Arabidopsis thaliana: one gene and its partners. The protein of the gene in region 2 purifies or fractionates together with the protein of the main gene of each other region. This does not show direct contact. Each region holds a gene or a part of one and is shown on either strand. Other genes may lie near its edges. The genes, in order: AtCDC48B, TCP-1 and EMB2107.

The links.
Region 1: the proteins of TCP-1 (region 2) and AtCDC48B fractionate together in Arabidopsis thaliana (co-fractionation; one large-scale study listed by BioGRID). This does not show direct contact.
Region 3: the proteins of TCP-1 (region 2) and EMB2107 fractionate together in Arabidopsis thaliana (co-fractionation; one large-scale study listed by BioGRID). This does not show direct contact.

Annotation. Positions count from the first base shown.
Region 1 is NC_003074.8:19,721,384-19,725,136, reverse strand, and holds the start of AtCDC48B (ATPase, AAA-type, CDC48 protein), read right to left. Parts: upstream 1,788-3,753; 5' UTR 1,722-1,787; coding exon 1,693-1,721; intron 1,596-1,692; coding exon 1,430-1,595; intron 1,202-1,429; coding exon 973-1,201; intron 853-972; coding exon 86-852; intron 1-85. Other genes in the region: AT3G53220 (Thioredoxin superfamily protein), read right to left, coding at 2,522-2,741, 2,840-2,865, 2,971-3,105; UMAMIT6 (nodulin MtN21 /EamA-like transporter family protein), read right to left, coding at 3,373-3,562, 3,657-3,753.
Region 2 is NC_003074.8:7,000,649-7,004,401, forward strand, and holds the start of TCP-1 (T-complex protein 1 alpha subunit), read right to left. Parts: upstream 1,788-3,753; 5' UTR 1,619-1,787; coding exon 1,546-1,618; intron 1,369-1,545; coding exon 1,304-1,368; intron 1,092-1,303; coding exon 1,002-1,091; intron 890-1,001; coding exon 803-889; intron 695-802; coding exon 635-694; intron 549-634; coding exon 498-548; intron 346-497; coding exon 250-345; intron 63-249; coding exon 1-62. Other genes in the region: UBC19 (ubiquitin-conjugating enzyme19), read right to left, coding at 2,279-2,325, 2,423-2,482, 2,585-2,648, 2,757-2,984, 3,068-3,095, 3,517-3,635.
Region 3 is NC_003076.8:3,090,969-3,094,721, reverse strand, and holds the start of EMB2107 (26S proteasome regulatory subunit, putative (RPN5)), read left to right. Parts: upstream 1-2,126; 5' UTR 2,127-2,287; coding exon 2,288-2,290; coding exon of another isoform or gene 2,291-2,294; intron 2,295-2,382; coding exon 2,383-2,577; intron 2,578-3,151; coding exon 3,152-3,259; intron 3,260-3,346; coding exon 3,347-3,451; intron 3,452-3,535; coding exon 3,536-3,592; intron 3,593-3,685; coding exon 3,686-3,753. Other genes in the region: AT5G09910 (Ras-related small GTP-binding family protein), read right to left, coding at 51-178, 270-323, 406-710, 776-917, 1,015-1,106, 1,357-1,450. UniProt on the Arabidopsis thaliana protein: Acts as a regulatory subunit of the 26 proteasome which is involved in the ATP-dependent degradation of ubiquitinated proteins. Required for gametogenesis and sporophyte development. Acts redundantly with RPN5B.

The DNA of each region.
Region 1 (3,753 bases), about 13 Mb from region 2:
GAATAAGAGAAAATAATGTCAGATCTAAACAAATAGAAAAAGGTAAAAGAAAAGAAGAAAATAATTATATGTAACAGAACATTACATCTTCCGCAAGCTTCATGTTCTTGGTGTGAATCCTGAGAACTTCAAGACGACCAATCTCATCAGGAACACCAATATCAATTTCTCTATCAAAACGTCCAAATCTTCTCAAAGCAGGGTCAATGCTGTTGGGACGGTTGGTAGCTCCCATAACAATCACATGGGCTCTGGATTTAAGACCATCCATAAGTGTCAAGAGCTGGGATACAATCCGTCTTTCAACTTCTCCGTGAGTCTTCTCTCTTTTTGGAGCAATCGAATCGATCTCATCAATGAATATGATCGAAGGGGCATTCTTCTCAGCTTCCTCAAACGCTTTCCTGAGGTTACTTTCACTCTCACCAGCTAGCTTCGACATGATCTCGGGACCATTGATACAGAAGAAAAATGCACCAGTCTCATTAGCAACAGCACGGGCAATAAGTGTCTTCCCAGAACCAGGAGGGCCATAGAGCAAGATTCCTTTGGGAGGTTTCACACCAATAGACTTGAAGAGCTGTGGATGCCTCAATGGGAGCTCAACAAGTTCACGAATCTGAGCCATTTGTTTCCTGACACCACCAACATCATCATACCCAACTTCATCCAACCTCTCCTCATCCTCTCTCTTTATCGGTTCACCTTCACAGAAAATTTCTGTATCTGGAGCAACCACACAGTACTCAGCAGGATCAGTTTCAATAACCTTAAACTCAATACTTCTCATCCCTCCTCTAACTAGGAAAAGATCGCCCTTCCTCACCGGACGATATGCCTCTAAGAAATAAGCTGGCAATAAAAAATAAAAAAAACAGACATTAAACTACTGTGATAAAAACAGAACACATCAAGAAGCATATAAGCAGAGCACAACTTAAATGACAAAAACAGGGAAGAGAAAACGCTTACGTTTAAGGTATGCATCAAATATATTGCCACTTACTCCTTCAATGGTATCATCTAAAGGTAAGATGTGAACACGGTTCCCATACTTGACATCAGGACATTGATGAACAGAAATAACATCCCCAAGCCTAACTCTGAGATTAGACCTAACAACCTTGTTCATTCTAATTTTTGGTTCATCACATGTCTCATCAGCTAAAGCAATACACACAGTATCCTTCCTCTTCTTTCCCTGCAACCACAGATTCCCAAAACAAAAAGAGAGAAAACAAAGATGTAAATACACACAACTCAAAGAAACTATCCCAAAACAAAAGCATGAAAATTGAAAGACCTAATTCAAAAAACAACCCTTCTGATAAACCCTAGCAGCAAACCAATGAACAATCACAAAACCTTATAAACCCTAATTCAGTAAAGGAAACAAGAGAAGAAGAGCCTTAAAATTCAAAAATCAAACCTTGATTAAGATAGTATCACCACGAAAAAGCTGTAGCTTCTCCATGGTATCAGGGTGAAGAGAAACGACGGAGTTATCATCGTTAATGGCTTCATCCACAACCAAACGATTCGCTGCCTTCTTTTTCTCCAGAATCGCGGTGCTAAAATCCTTCTTCGTCCCCTTCCTGAGATATTCAGAGAAAAAAAAATAGAATTAGAAAAACCCCAACACGAAGACTAACAAAACCTTAAAGAGTTACTCAGTAATTAACAAGTACTTACGAATCAGATGATTCAGCTTGATTCGCCATGTTTGATAATCGAGTAGAGAGAGAGAGAGAGCTTCGCAGAGAAGAAAAAGAAGATTCGAGAAGTGTAAATAAATAGACAGGTGTGTGTTTTATTTATATAGAAGACAAATCCGTTTCTTGTTATCAAAGAAACGTTTATTTTATAGTATTTGTTTTCCATTATTATTATTCTTTTCTTCTATTTTTTTTTTATACATCTTCCAATTTAGAAAAGCTTCTAGTATGTTCTTATTTAGTTTTGAATAAACATTGTGATAATTTCACAAGAGATTTTTTTTACAAATTCAACAAAGTTACGTTTTAAAAAAAAAATTACGAAAAGAAGGTCGGTCTTAATGGGCAACAATAAAAGTTTTAATGGTTGATATTTTTTGTGGTGGAAGACCGTCCAATCTCAAACCTGACCCAAATTAGAAAGTTACATTAACCCAATTCATTCCTGGAAAACAAAACCGTTTAGAGGTGAAGCTTGGTGCTTTTGAGATTGGCAAGAGTGTGATTTAGAGACTTCAATGTTTCTCAAGGTCATTATACCCGGTTAAACCAAATTATTTGAGAGGGAAAGAGCCGCCGTGAGGAGCTCGGTGTTCATATTTATTTGTCAAGAGTTGTATCATGAATGTTAGCTCCATCCTCTGTTTAACCTTTGATGTTTCTGTAAGTTTATCCCTAACATTAATCTACCAAAGTCCAAACTTATTCAGGGGATTATTGTCGAAGAGCCAAGTATTTTTTGTGTTGGCATTTAAAGTATCACAAAAGGAATGCAGATTTTCATAGTTAATATTTGATGAACATATTCAAGAGTGAAGCCAAAGACGATCATGGAGCCTCTGTTCACCAGCTCCAAACATCTCATCGACTTTCTCGCCGTCTCTGTAAAACTGAAACGTGGGTGTGTAACGGATGTGACGAGTGGTTTCAGGGCACTCGTCGATATCTGCATAAACAAACTTGAGCTTCGAGAAACTGTTGCTGAGCTTTCGGAATGCAGGAAGAATCTGGCTACAAACTCCACACCTGAAAGTTTCAAAACAAAACCGTTCTCATTGAGGCATTTCATCGAACACTTTATAAGCATGAAAAGCGTAATCGTAAAAACAGAGAATAAGGTGTACCAAGAAGCTCCATAGTTAATAACAGCCTGAATATAACAAAGCAAAAACAAGAAGAACAGTCAGATTACGAAAAAAAACCAGCTTCGGTCTTAAAAACGTGTACAAATGTATAAGTTGTCGTGTGTAAGAACCGGAGATTTGGAAGACTTTATGTCGTCAAGAATTGTGAGGAAACTTTGGTCGTTTGGTGCGATTTTCACATTTCCATTGTCATTTGATTTGGATTCGAATTCAAGATTCGCTCCCTCTGATTCTTGCTTTCTCATTTTTTTGTTTCCTCTCTGTTTTTGTTTGTTTGGTTTTTAAAAGCGCCAATTTTGATCCCTCCAGGTTATAATATCATAACCTGAACCGAACCACAACTCTACTCACCTAACCACTGTGGCACTAAACCCAAACCAATCGATTTAATTCTAAACCGATTTTAACCAAATTTATTTTTATCTCTATTTCGTCAACCGGGTCCATTTCGATTTTAATGAGGAAGAGAGTAGGAACTAGGAATTTAAGACATAAATAGGATCTAACAAAATTTAGGAAGAAATTAATGGTTGACTAATAGGAGATCTTGGTTTATTATTATGGTAGTCTTCTTCATCACCAAAATCTGATGCTGCTGAAGAAATCATGTGTTGTTGTTGTTGGCAAAGAGCTTGATTCTCCCAACTCTTTCCCATCACAACTAAGTATAGTCCACTCATGATTAGTATTGCACCTATCAATCTGACCAAAACAAACATTAAAAAATGTGTAAGAAACTTAACTATAAGATATGAAAATAAAACGCATAATGAGTCAAAACATATAGATAACATACCCTCCAAGGTAAAAGTGTTCACCAAGAGCTAAAGTAGCTAAAACAGCAGCAATCAAAGTTTGAAGAGGCAAATACGCTGATACAAACAGAGGTCCTC
Region 2 (3,753 bases):
ATAGGGTATTTTATCTCTCCCCGCTGATTTGTCATCTTTACTGAAAGAACGGCTTCCACAACCTTTAAAAGAAATGTGATTATAACAGTTCAGCCACATGCAATGACTAGGGTATTATTGCAAGATAAACCAGATTTAAGTAGAAAAGAGTCCCCCAAGAAAAAACCAAGAATAAACATAGGTTTTAATAACACTAATGTTTTAATGAATTTCCACGTTATTGCTTAGTAAGGAGAACTGGAAGCGTACCAAATTGGCAAAGAAGTCGCTGTCACCAGATATCAGTTTGGAGGACATGCTGGTTTTGGCACAGTTTATCAATGGAACTTTCCCAAGCTTTTCGACCTATAAAACGCAAAAAAAAAAGTAATTAACTAAAGGGGAAGAGACAGACAGTACAGTGAGCTTTCCCAATTATACTGACACAAAAAAATTGTATGAAGAGAGGAAAATTTCCTCTAAGAGGCAAGACTATAGACCATCACACGAGGACTAACCTTGGTCACCAACTTCTCTTCTATGTATTTGCAAGATTCTCTCATTGCTAGCTGTCAACAGTAAAAAAGATAATGAACACACTGGAAACACTTCTGCAGTGCAGGTTACAACATATGAAATTAAAGTCGCAGCTTACCCTATATCCACTGATAATTGATGTTGGATGTATTTTGTTCCTGACCAAATCATTTGCCCTCTGCAAATATATACATAAGACCCATTAATCATCAAGCAATAGTTACCATGTGAAAAATCTCCCAACTCTAGGAAAACCAAAACCAAAGAAAACAGTAATCAAACTAACCTTCAACAACTCAGCAGCTACAATAACAACAGATGTAGTCCCATCACCGACTTCTCTATCTTGAAGTTCAGCTAACTCGACAAGAACCTGTCACAACAAAAGTAGACAGATTAGAGAACTGAGTAACTAATAATTCATAACCAGTGTTTTGAAATGATGATAAGAAAATACGTATAACAATCACATTTGCATAAATTACCTTAGCAGCAGGGTGCTCGACCTCCAACATCCTAAGAATAGTAGCACCATCATTTGTAATAGTCACATCACCAATATCATCCACCAACATCTGAAACACAAGCCAACATAACATGAAACACGATTGGAGGAACTAGGAACGAAAATACAAAGGACAATATCGAGCAGATTTAGAATAAAACTAGAAATGGTTAGGTCTAAAAGTAACCTAAAACTAAACACAACTGTTGCCAAGATGCATCTAAGATATAAAAAAGAAAGCTAGCAGAATATATATACACAGATGCAAATCAGAAACCAAACCTTGTCGAGGCCGACGGGACCAAGTGAGGTCTTAACAATATTAGAAACAGCTTGACAAGCCATCACTGCAAATAGAGTATATAAAATACGAGTCAATAACCACAAAACATCTAAAAGAATAGATTCAAAACAAACCCTAGCTAGAGATCGAAACAAATTTGCGATGAAAACAAAGTGAACAGTTTAGTAATGAGAAGAGATAGGAAATAGACGTAAGAGGAAGCGATGGAGAGTAGTAGTACCGTTCTGAGTACGAACATCTTGGCCGGATTGTCTATCGCCGGAAATATCCGGATTTTGGGCGGAGATCGACATTATTCAGTTGTTATATGAACAGAAGAGGAGAAGCGAAAGGCTCTAGATCGGAGATCTGAGCTCTCGAGATAAAGTGCAGTGAGAGATTTTTCGCCTTTTATTGAATTGAAGCGAAAATGCTTCTCAAAAGTTTGTGAGAGTGAGAGACTCCGGCGGGTTTTTAACTTTCAAGGTTTCTGGGATGTACGGCCAGGGTATGAATGAAGCGGCGACGTTTTTATATTGGGCCGAAATAATATATACCCTCAAAGCCCATTTGTAATAAAGAGTTAAGCACGAATTATGGGCTTGGGGATTTAAAAAGAAGGCCATAAATGTCAATTTCAAAACATTTCATTAGTCTTCAGTACTTTGTCCGGTGCCAACGTTTCACATGTTTGAGTCTTACTTCTCTCGTGGGGAACTTTGGTTTCTGGATTTTTCAATAGTTCAGAAACTTTTTTTTGTATTATACTTTCAGATACTTACTACAACATTTCAGAGTTACTATTATGAACTTCTCAAATCTCAGTTACGGAAGAGATATAGGTGGTGATTGTGGAACTGTAATAAAGGTAGAGTTTGATTGCTAATATTGGCTCAAATTGAGATTATAAAAGTAAAAGAGATATGATCCAATACAGTTGAGATTTTAAAATCAGTTACAGTGATTTTTGAGAATCATGCGTTTAAAGGCTTGTAGAGCTTCTCAACCATCTTCCTGTACTCTGTATAACATTACAAGTTCAAGAAGACGAATATCATTATGAATCGAAAAATGGAGACGTCCAGAGATGTGTAATCTGATAACTATTGCAATTTTACCTTCTTGATTGCTCCAAAGCTGAGCCGCTTGATTGTTCAATGGTGAGCTGATGTTCGGTTCTGATCAATTAAAACAAAACAGGAAAAATCAGATACTGGATCAAACCAACAGAGAAATTCTTCATAAGTAACCTCAACAGTTATATCAGCCATAGAGTTTACCTCCGAGAAGGCTTTGAATTGAGAGTAATATCGTCCTCACATCATAAGCAGATGACCATTTATCCTACAAAAGATGTGAAAACAGATTCTGTTTTAAGTACTGCTTCTCTGATATGTGATTCCATGGGATTTACAGTAACACAAGTAGAAAGAGCAAGTGATTGTTATGTACCTGAAGAATGTCCAAGCAAATATTGCCATAGAGATCCACATTGGGGTGGAAGCAGCATGTCTCAAACTTAACTTTGGGAGACTTAAAAGGATAATCGTTAGAGAAAGTGAGTGAGAGTCTGTACTCAGTTCCTTCGAACACAGTATCTTTGCTTCCTGTAATTGTTCCTTTCCAGCAAAATATGTTGTCTTCCTCTGGAAACGCAGATATCCCCGGATCAGCTCCCATCTGCAATACATAAACCCAAAGGCCTCTATATAAGCATCCAACCATATCAACAGGTTCAGTTATGCAGAGAAAAGATAGCTTACCATCAATCCCATTAGTTCAGATTGCAGCCTGCAATTAAGGAAAAACAATGAATTAGCAAAACCATGAATTTGTTTGCTTTGATCAAGAAAGGGTACATAAAAGAAAGTACTTGAGATCTGTAGTACATACAAAGTTTGATGTATCATTCTCTTAGAGACATTATAACAAACAGTTGGTAGACAAAGAGAGAACCCATCATTTCAGAAGAGAACAAGAGAAGTCACAATCAGTTTTGGATCCATCGTTTTCTCTAAAAATGATCTAGAAAGCATGTAGACCACAAGAAATGGATATGGGTAGAGCCAAAACCTAATCTAATCTACCTAAAGAAACATGAACAACTCTATAAACAATCGCAGCGATTCTAATCATTAAGAGGCTAAAGACTAATTCCTTTAAATGGACGCGAGAATATTCCAAGATCGGAAAAATGTAAAAAAGAAATAACCTTTTTAGAACGGAGTGGCTATCGACGGTCTTAGTCGGAGGAGCAGATTGCTTTGATCCGGTGGCTGCCGGTGTAGTCGCCGCCGGAGTATTCCCTGTGTACCCATTAACCGTCGCCATCCTTTTTCGCCTCTTCTAATTGAACAAAGCAACAATCGTAGTCGAAATTTCTGAAATTGAAACGCTTTTTTCTCGAGAAGAATCAGATTCAAGAATGATCGAAACTGAAGAAGAAGGA
Region 3 (3,753 bases), on a different chromosome or scaffold from region 2:
CCGATAAAGAAAAGAAATCCGATTTTTTTTAGGATGATAAATATATATACCTTGTTCTTTTATAGAACTGATCTTCATCACTTGTGCCCTCATCTAACCGCTGGGAAGGTGCATGGGAAAGAGACCATGCTGAAGAAGGCGACGGTAGTTCGTCTGAGAAATATCTTCTTCTTATCAACTGAAAACGAAAAACGTTCATTAGGTTGAAGAGAAAGAGAGAGAGGGAGAGAGCTATTGTAAAACATGGCAAGGTCAGAAATGACACCAACCATATGGAAAATTTTGGTCAGAGCTTCTTTGTCATATCTAGCTTCCTTGGCAGCCTGTGCATAATTTTACCAAAATTATATGACATACCGCATAACACTAAATTCAAATAAAGCAAGTAATTTAGTCTGTGGTTACCATTATGAGACCAACATTGCTAGGGAAGCTCTCAGAGAGAGGAAGTTCATCACTATGGGGAAGCAGACCCTGCTTCTCAACCCAATGACGAGCTGCATCAACAAGATTGCCACTGCTTCCATTTGTTCCTCCTTTGGCAGCAATATCAGCTTTGTTTCCAATAACGATGTATGGGACGGGAAGACCACCAGGCCCACCAGAAGAAAGGGGAGCTGAAAACTCCCCAGTTACTGAAACTTCACCCGCCCATTTCTGCAAATTAGTTTTTGTAGTCCTTTGCGAAAGATCATGAACAAAAATAACTCCTGCATAATCAAACAGTCGCATCAGTGACAAAACAGGGACAGAGATGACATTTGTTGAGACAGACCATTGATTTGTGAATAGAACAGTGAGCGGCAATCTTTGTATCGTTCATGACCTGAAACATCCCAAAGTTCGACGAAGAAATCTCTCTCTGAGTCACCTTTAATGATACTTGAAGAACTAGCAGGACTTGCGTAAGTTAAGTGCTGCACCAAAGAGAGTTCCAGAAACTAAGTAGGGAAACTTATCCCATGCTCTCTTTAACCATATCGAGAATTTTTTTTATAGAACAGCTTAAGTTACCTTGACACCAACTGTACATCCAATAGTTTGAGATGGGCGAACAATAGAGGAGCCTTTGACAATGAGATGCACAAGAGATGATTTTCCCACACCTAATTTGATATCCAGAGATAAAACTTTGCTCAATAGTGGAGAAGATGTAGTAGACTTACGAAACTTGACTCTTATTAGGTTCCACAAGTAGAAACTCATATCCAATCATCATGAGAAATCTTCTCATTAGCTCCTTCTTTAAGGATGAGTTTGTGCACTACGACAAACTTTCTTTAGTTCCATTAAATGGCTACTTAAAAAGCTAGAACCATTACCAAATCTATGGAAACGAGAATTTGTTAATATTACCTGAATCACCAACCACCAATACTCGAATTTGGCCGCATAATGGCGCTACCATATGTTCCTTATTTTCCCTGCCACGTTCCCTCCAAAACCGCATTTTGATTACTCCAGCAAAATCGGCACTGCGAAATTAAGTCCCATAGTCGCGTCTTCGACCAAAAGAGAAGCTTCCAGAAATCATCATTTCGAAACTCTGATTCCTAGCTGTAAGCAGATTATTCTAATCCATCACCTTGCACATTGCAAAACAGAGTCTCGGCTACAGTTCCTTCACCTTCCTAGTGCAAATAATCTCTAGAGCACAAATCGAAACCAATACCGAAGTTAACACAATTGATGGAGGTAAGCAGCGAATCTAAGGAATATGTAAGAGGATCAATATTCGAATTCTAAGAGCGTAATAAGAGTTTCACAGAAGTAAGATTCACCTTCTTCCTCCTTAACGTTCTTCTCCTCGATGAAAAAAATTCAGAAAAGATCTTTCCAGTAATCAAGGTAAACCATTGAATCTCGAGACAGGGAGTTCTCGATCGACATTATAGAATCTCTGGTTTCGCTACGAAAATTCGAAGATATCATGAGATTTGGGCGGAAGAACGAACGACGTGAGTTTGTTCAATCAATGGGATCGGTTCGATACTTCTGAACCAACACCATACCATATAACTAGACCGGTATTACATACCAAACCTGATTGACTCAAAACAATTAGTTAATGGCCCATTAGCAGCCCATGTAAAAAGATCCATCGGCCGAAGAATCTGAGATTTCTTGTTCAAGGGGTTGGGAACTCTGCGAATTATCTGTGCTCAGCTACTCCCAAAAGCTCTCTCATCTCTCTCGTCCGTCTCCTCTTTCTCCATAGTTTAAAGCTTCGTCGTTCCGTCACCAGAATTTCAACTACTTTGAGTTGATTCTCGTTGGATTTCTCACGATGGCGAGTCTTCAATTACTCAGATCTGATATTAAGTTTTTTTCTCGTTTTCGAAATTTTTGCATCTTCTCATTCCGTCATAGTTTGTATTTCAGGGAGACAGCGGGAAGCTTGAGGCAACGATAGATCGGCTTCTGAATGAAGAGAAGCAGATGAGACTCGCCGAAAACGTAGCCGGTACAAGGAAAGCCGCCACTGAGATTCTTCAGCTTTGTTTCGATGCTAAGGATTGGAAACTTCTGAATGAGCAGATTCTCAATCTCTCTAAGAAACGTGGTCAGCTCAAACAGGTACTTGGAATTTTGGTTATATCCTATCAGTGTTTGTGGTTTAAGCTCTTAAGGAACATGAACTTTTGGTTTGGGATAATTTGAAGGATTTGTTTAAGTTGGATATTTTGTTTGAGTTTTGAATGTGATTTGTTCCACATTTGACTTAGGAATTGCATAGGCCTAGTTTTTGGTAACCCTAATCTTGGAAAGAGATTAAGGACATTAGCACAAATTCAGGAGGATTCGACTTTGTGTTGGATACAAGCTTCTTTTTGTGGGATGTTGTCCTGTGATAGGTTGCTTTTACGATTCCTCTCTATGATTTTGATAGATTCACTGTTGACTCAAATATTAAAGCTAAATTGGGTCATTGCAGATAGTGATGTTTGTATTTAGTTCAGTTTATTACTTAACTTAGTTTGATTTTCAGTGTTTCGTTGGTTTTACTTTTGCTTTGCGTGTTTTCTTGGTCTAGTTACTTCAGACAGAATTAGCTTCACCTTTCCATGTACAAAATTATAGTTAAAAGTAAGGATACAAAGTGATAAGTCAACATCACTGATTTTTTTTTTGTGAACTTCTCCACTTGCAGGCTGTGCAATCCATGGTGCAGCAAGCAATGCAGTATATCGATCAGACACCAGACATTGAAACTCGGATAGAGCTTATCAAGACGCTGAACAATGTATCTGCTGGAAAGGTGCGAAACTATGAAACTGATGGTGTATTCTTTATAATAACTTCATCATTCTGTGTAATTGTTTACCATTGCATTTTACATGTATAGATATATGTTGAAATCGAGAGGGCACGTCTCACCAAGAAACTTGCTAAGATTAAGGAAGAACAGGGTCAGATAGCTGAAGCTGCAGATCTTATGCAAGAAGTTGCTGTAAGATTTTGTGCATTTGGCTATTAAATCTCCTGGAAATTTTCTTCCCTTGTTAACCCCTGCAATTTGATAAATAATTAACAGGTGGAGACATTTGGTGCTATGGCAAAAACTGAGAAAATTGCATTTATCCTTGAACAAGTAAGGACTTGTGTAGTTACGTTGCAATTAATAATTTGCTGGTGTTTTCTTTCATTGTGATAACTATCAAACTATTGTGGTCAAACTTTAAAGGTTCGCTTGTGCTTGGATCGTCAAGATTTTGTTCGTGCACAAATCTTATCTAGGAAGATCAATCCTAG